Arabidopsis thaliana: one gene and its partner. The protein of the gene in region 2 interacts with the protein of the main gene of each other region in a pairwise test. Each region holds a gene or a part of one and is shown on either strand. Other genes may lie near its edges.

Evidence for each region.
Region 1: the proteins of MIND (region 2) and MINE1 interact in binary tests that used the Arabidopsis thaliana proteins (3 or more experiments, as listed by UniProt).

The regions. Positions count from the first base shown.
Region 1 is NC_003070.9:26,082,642-26,086,395, forward strand, and holds the start of MINE1 (homologue of bacterial MinE 1), read left to right. Parts: upstream 1-1,920; 5' UTR 1,921-2,079; coding exon 2,080-2,181; intron 2,182-3,055; coding exon 3,056-3,643; 3' UTR 3,644-3,754. Other genes in the region: RRG (sporulation protein (DUF155)), read right to left, coding at 1-147, 256-370, 501-790. UniProt on the Arabidopsis thaliana protein: Acts as a topological specificity factor during plastid division and specify plastid constriction sites (such as the Z-ring) in a MCD1-dependent manner. Especially involved in epidermal plastids division in a FTSZ1-dependent manner.
Region 2 is NC_003076.8:8,114,652-8,118,405, reverse strand, and holds MIND (septum site-determining protein (MIND)), read right to left. Parts: upstream 1,742-3,754; 5' UTR 1,676-1,741; coding exon 695-1,675; 3' UTR 319-694; downstream 1-318. Other genes in the region: AT5G24010 (Protein kinase superfamily protein), read right to left, coding at 2,022-3,754. UniProt on the Arabidopsis thaliana protein: Together with ARC3 and MCD1, regulates FtsZ ring positioning in chloroplasts in an ARC6-dependent manner. Calcium-dependent ATPase required for the correct placement of the plastid division site. Inhibits FtsZ filament and ring formation in the plastid.

The DNA.
Region 1 (3,754 bases), on a different chromosome or scaffold from region 2:
TTCTGTAAGCAATCCAGAAGCATGTCTACGAACAATGTCGAGATAACGGTCAACATCATTATCATCAACATTGAAAAGAATAGCAGAACCATATTGAAAGACAACCATGAACTTGCAGTTGCTTACACTCTCCCTCTCGTCCAAACTCTGAAGAAAGGTAACAAAGATAAGGTAACCAAAGGCATGCCATTTGCATTATACTCAATAATCAACAGATAAGTAAACATAGCTAAACTGTTTCTGAATAAAACTTACATAGATTCCAGAAGGGGTAAAATCCGAAAATTTGAGGGCAATATAATTAGTAGAACGTGAAGTAGGAGGAACAACATTGCATAAGTTCTCAGCTTGCATTGCCTTCAAATCAATACTGCCAAAACCATAGTTCTGAGAAACCAAATTATAAATGAAAAACACATAACAGACTTCAACTTTCAAACTGTAAAGATTCCAAATTCAAAACTTTCACTAGTGAGTCCCAATACCAAAGATGTACATACCTAGTACTGAGAAAATAGGCTTTGATAGGGATTTTGCCTAGTGCTTCCTCTGCCTCTGTTCCAAATTCATAGTTTTGATATGCATCATTCGACCCAGAATCAGAGTCATTGTTGTAAATCGAAATCGGAGAAGGGAACGCTGAAAAGTGTCGGAAATTGAGAAAGCGAGAAGCTAAACCAATCGTTGGGTGTTTCGAAACACATGGAGAAGAAGAAAGGTTTAGTCTTTTTGAAGAATTGAGTAATTGATTACGAAGAAGAAGAGCAGCTACTGCTCTCCATTTACCCATTCAATGAAATCAAAATTGAAATTTTTTGTCCTCTGCACCAGAATCTCTCGACTTATTATATTAGTCAATTTGTATTTTGGAGAGATTGTCTTTTGATATCGAAAGATATTTGGTTACGAAGAAGCCTTGGTTCTCGCCGCCGGTGACCACAGTCCCCTAATCAAATGATCGTTTTACTTGTTTCAAAACGACTGTGTTTTTTGTTTAATTAACTAAAACGACAGCGGTTCGTTTAATAAACTTGTTTCAAAAAGTTTAAAACCCTCTTGTAGCATTTTCATATTAAGCCAAAACAAAAACCTAAAACCCTATCTTGGAAAAATGTTAAGTTAGAAAAGCCCTAATCTTGTAGCCTTGGTTTTTGAAGTTTAGAAGAATGACGAATGTCTAGTCCTTACCAAGTGTTATGGGATTGGAAAATTCTCTAGGGTTTCAATTTTTTTCCGAGATCAATGCGATTTATTTGTAAAAGTTGGAACAAGTTTATCAAAAAGATCATAATTATTGATAAAACACCAATAACCCCGCATATAGTCAATTTTGCAGATTTCTTATAAATTAAACTTTAAAAAATAATTTTATAATCCATCAAATTTAAATACTATTTTTTTAGAAGGTCCAATATATAGTCAAACTCTACTATATAGGGTAACGCGACTTAGTGGAATCGAACCTCGATAGAAAGACGAAATCAAATGAACTTAACCACTTGACTAAAAGCACATCTCTCAAATCTAAAAACTACTTATTCGTGGTTTATCTATAAAACTTGAAATATTTTTGTCAAAAGATCATATTTTTAATAAAACAGCAAGAATGCAAATAGTCATCTTTACGGATATTTTGTTAGATTGAAGTTTAAAGAACAAATATTACAATCCATCAAATCTGAAAACTACTTATTAGTTATTTGTGGTTGCCTACAGCTTTACCAATAATGTGATTTTTTATAAAGCTTACATTTTGCTTATAGAAAACCTTTGAATGAGTTATAGAAAACCTTTGAATGAGTTGGTACTATTGTCGTCATTCTTCTAATTTCTAAACTTCAAACACCAAAAGTTGCAAAGTAGTTTTTTTTTGTTGTTTTGGTTTAATATTAAAATAGATGATACGACATCGGTTAGGCAGTTGTTAAAACGCTGTGTTTCAAGCCTTTAAACGACAGCGTTTCTTAAAGTGCTCGATAGCCTTTTACTTTGTAAGAAGAGTCGTCGTAATCTCATTTCTCTTTTAACTGAGACGAAAAAGATTCACTTCTCCGGCGAGCAATTTCAAGTTTCTCGGTAATGGCGATGTCTTCTGGAACTCTCAGGATCTCTGCGACCTTAGTATCTCCTTATCATCATCACCACCGTAATCGCCTCTCATTACCTTCTTCTTCTTCCAAGGTCCGATTTTCTTATAATTCTTACTCTACGATTCAAATTTTCTCTTCGCTGCAATTTGGGATCTGGAGCTCGTGAAATTCGCCACCAAATTAGGAGAACTTAGATTACTAGCTTCGATCTTTCGTTTCTATGTCTGTGTGGTTTAGGAAGAATCTGAAATGCGTCTTTTATTGGAACAATTTCACAATTTCTCTCTAGCTCTAGATTTGCTTGTTCATCGCGAGCTCCTGAAAGTTTATCATTCCAGTTTCTGTGTTTTTACTTAGGCACTTGGAAATGAAGGATTTTAGTAACAAAACTTAAGTATATTTGTTTTTAGGAAAGCCAACGAATCCATCTCCATGACCATCCTCCTTTTTTGTAGTTTTGATATTTTCTTTATCTTGTAGCTCATATTAAGTCTTTATAGTATGGAAGTGGTGTCTTTGATTACTGAGAGCGAGACTGGACCGGTCTTCTGTTAGATATGTGCGGATGTTTGTGGTGCTATGACCTGATGTGTTGCAATTTTGTTACAAAACCATTTCATTAAGTTTAAGATGAGCTTTGATGTTACAGTTGCTTCTTTACCTATAGATGATCAAAGAGAGTGAATATGTTCTTAAGCTTGTAGCTCATATTAAGTCTTTTTAACAATGGTGGTGGTGCCTTGGATTACGTAGACTAGACCGGTCTTCTGTTAGATATATGCAGATGTTTGTGGTGTTTATGACCTGATGTTTTGCTACTTTGTTAGAAAACATATACGTTTAGGTCAGCTTTGATGTTATAGTTGCTTTACCTATAGATGTACGATAACAATTACTGAGTTCTCAAAATGCAACTAGTCTGAAATTACAGTCCCTTTTTGCGGGTGATGGATGTAAATTTGCAGGTTGATTTCACGGGATTCATAAGCAATGGCGTAAACAGTTTGGAAACTCAGAAATGTACTCCTGGACTGGCGATCAGCCGCGAAAACACACGAGGTCAGGTGAAGGTTCTTGCAAGGAACACCGGAGACTATGAACTATCACCAAGCCCAGCAGAGCAAGAGATAGAGAGCTTTCTCTATAATGCCATCAACATGGGTTTCTTTGACAGGTTAAACTTGGCTTGGAAGATAATATTCCCATCTCACGCATCAAGAAGAAGCTCCAACGCAAGAATTGCAAAGCAGCGGCTCAAGATGATCCTCTTCTCCGACAGGTGTGATGTTAGTGACGAAGCTAAAAGGAAAATCGTCAACAACATTATCCATGCACTGTCGGATTTCGTAGAGATAGAATCAGAGGAAAAAGTTCAGCTAAATGTTTCCACGGACGGTGACCTTGGGACCATTTACTCGGTCACGGTGCCTGTTAGAAGGGTGAAACCAGAGTACCAAGACGTGGACGAGGCTGGAACCATAACCAACGTGGAATACAAAGATACCCGTGATGGTTCTGTCGATGTCAGGTTCGATTTTTATGTTCCAGAGTGATGAAAAGGCACAGTCTTAGATTTATTTGCTGGATAGTATCTTGTCTGTTATGTTGATGTTCTTCAAGTTTAGTCTGGAGGGAACAAAGACAGTTTCTTGACACTCCCCATG
Region 2 (3,754 bases):
CTTAAACCAGAACTGTTAGCAGTTATCATAATACTTCAAAGAGCATGTATACTTGTTTTGTTCCAATAAATAAAAAGTTTTGAGGGGTTATCACTGTATAAATAGCATCAGAATTATGATACGCGATCATGTTGGTTCTACTATCAGCTAAGCCCTCTAAGAGCTTCAGTATCACATAATCATTTCTATTTCGGGAACTTAATCGACACCGCCATATCGATAAATCAAGAAGGTAGAGAATCAAATGGCATAATACCAAGCTAGACAGCACTAGTACTCAAGCCTACATAGTACAAAAGGGCCAGCAAAATCATCACCAAACCAGTAGCTACCGAATTCATACTCGCGAAAAGTTCTGATAAGATCAGCTAAGCTATTGAAGTTCTCATCATAACGATTTGACATAAGAACTTGAGATATATTGGAAACTCTCAATTTTAACATAAACAGATTACAGAAACAGAAATCAAGAACCTCAAGAACAAAAGGCATAAGAATCAGAGCTTGAACTCAGCAACAAACTAGCAGTAGAATTCCACATTGTCCTAGGAACAAATCTAAATTCTCAAAGCAAAAGAGACAAAATCTTCAAAAATCTCTAGCTCCTGTACAAAAGATTTCAATGCATACATACCCGAGGAAGAAGTTTCAGTTCAGTTCAGTACCGTTCGGTTCGGTTCGATCCGTTTGCCATTTAGCCGCCAAAGAAAGAGAAGAAGCCACGTTTCTTAGGTTCTTCCTCCACCATAACAGCCTTCATACTATCTTGCTCAACGAGTCTCCAAGCCGCCTGCTCAAACGCCAATCCCGCAAGCGTAGGAGGCTTATTCAGAACAAGCGGAAACCCTCGATTCGTGCTTCGAATAACCTCAGAATCTTCAGGAATTACACCAAGCAATGACAATCCCAACATCTCCTGCACATCTAACACTGACATCATATCCTCTCCTTTAATCATATCAGTTCTCACTCTGTTCACAATCATCTTTATATCTCTGATTCCATCGCATTCTAACAAACCCGTAACCCTATCAGCATCCCTTAACGCTGTTATATCCGGAGTTGTTACCAGAACTGCTTCATTCGCCGGAGTAATGGCGGTTATGAATCCGGCATCGATTCCTGCAGGACAATCGATGATGATGAAATCCGGTGAACCTTCCGGTCTAGTTTTCAACGCATCCACAAGCCATTCCAATGCTTTACCACCAAATCCCATCGGAAGTTTCGATCTAGGTTTAGATATACATAGCAATTCGAAATTCGACCAACGCTTATCACGTACCAGAGCTTGATCGAGACGACAATCTCCGTTTATAACCTCGACGCAAGTGTAATTGACTCGATTCTCTAACCCTAGGAGGAGATCGAGGTTACGGAGACCAAGGTCGGCGTCAATGGCGACAACTGAGAAACCGTAACGAGCGAGAGAGAGACCGACATTTGCGGTGGTTGTCGTCTTTCCAACACCGCCTTTTCCGGAGGTGATAACGACGATACGCGGCGTTTCTCCGGCGAGTTCCGGTTTGCGATTAAATTGAAGAACGGATCGTATTGGACTCCGTCTGCTAGGGTTATTGACGAATCTTGGTGAAGATATTAGAGTCTTTTGTGAGAGAGATGATGGAAGGAGAAGAGATTGATGATTCGTTGAGAACAATCTCAGAGACGCCATTGATAGTGCTGCTGCTTCTTCAGCTGTCTCCACAGAGACAGAAATGTTTCTGAGCGTTGTGGCTTCACAGGGTTTACGGTTTATCAAGAACTTTTGAGATTCCGGTTTTTAATTTCTCCACTCTTAACCGGTTTAATATTTAACCAAATAATGTACTGGTTTTAACGGTTTATGATTCATCCATATCAAATGAACAATCATAGCTCTACAAGTTACAGAAACCAAACAAAATTATACCAAACACGAACCGAATCTGAGATACCGGTACACCGCTTTGGTTTCCCGGTTTAGGTATTGTACTCTATGACTATGATAAATACTTGCTCTATATAGCAATGACTTTAATTTATCTCCCAGCGTTGGTCATTAGCTGAGAGAACACTTGGGTGCTACTGATTATGCCTGAAGTTCCATCTCCATAGTCTCTCTCTATGTTCGAGCCATTAGACAGACCTTGCCGAGCCGTTCTCGGGTCGGTAACATCTCCATAATCTTCTTCAGGAATGTTCAATGGTCCGGATTCTTGAAGCTGAAGCACATGTTCTAAGTTCCATAGAACATCGCCAATTGTCGGTCTATCTACACCGTAATCCGCACAGCATTTCTCTGCGGTTTCAGCGAATTTCTTCAACGAGCACGGTTTGATTTCATCTGCGATATTCGGATCAACGATCTGATCAAGCATCCCTTTCCTTTGCCACTCTATTGCCCATTCTGCTAAATTTACTTGCTCCCTAACAAGCAACGGATCAACAGCGGGTCTAGCGCAAAGAACTTCAAAAAGAACAACACCAAATGAATAAACATCGGACTTATCCGTGAGCTGTTGTCTTCTGAAGTATTCAGGATCAAGATATCCAAAGCTTCCTTTTACACCGGTGCTCACATGTGTCTCATCAATACAAGGACCGGATCTTGAGAGTCCAAAGTCTGCAACTTTGGCTACATAGTTGTTATCTAGTAAGATATTGGTGGATTTGATATCCCGGTGGATGATTCCTTGCGAAGAACCGGTGTGAAGGTAATGAAGTCCTCTGGCTGCACCAATGCAGACCTCAAGCCGTTGTTTCCAAGATAAAGGCGGGTTGGTGGATCCGTATAAGTGACTTTTGAGTGGTCCTTTATCCATGTACTCATAAACAAGAATCATCTCAGACTGTTCTTCGCAATACCCAACAAGTGAAACTAGATGGCGATGACGGATCTTAGAGAGAATGGTTATCTCAGAGAGAAACTCTGGTAAGCCCTGTCTTGAACCAGGAGAGCCTCTCTTCACAGCTACTTTGGTGTTGTCTTTAAGAGACCCTCTAAAAACCATCCCGAATCCGCCAACTCCGATAACTAAACTTCTATCAAAGTTATTGGTTCCGGATTGTAACTCCGCGAACGAGATTCTCAGAGTATGGTAGCCACTAGAACTAACAGTTCTTTCAGTTGTTCTACTATTGGAACTGCCTCTAAACCTCCTCAAAGGTGTCCATCCCGTGCTCTCTGAACTCCTCGTCTTGTTGTTCTTGCGCCTGCACAAGCACAAAACGCTCAAGAAGAACAGCGACAAGAACACAAAACCTCCCAAAACCGAGCCAACCACGATCCAGACAACATTCCTCTTTCCAGATACCACTTCAGAACTCACAGGGCTCAAAATCCTCATGATCTCAACTCCATTCAATAGAGCATTAACTCTCGCCGGATTACTAAGATCAGACGGTCCAACACTAATCCTCAACATTCCAGAACGATCAGACTCCGCAACAAAATCAATGTACAACGGAGACGCAAGCACATGGAAAGTAAGCGTGGAGAGATCAACATCCTTAAACGCAAGATACTCATTGATAAAGACATTGAAATAGAGCTGATTAAGCGACGAACTAACGATATCGCAGAAATGCAAACGAACCAAATGAAGAACTCGTTTCTCATCAACCTGAAACCCCCAACTAATGTTAAACCTTGCCTGCAACTCCTGATTATCTCGATCCATCTCCTGAGCAGTCATATAAACATTATCCGGAGCAATCTCTCTCGTGGCACCACCGTTTTGATAATTCGGAGAATGAGTAGTCCAAGCACGTC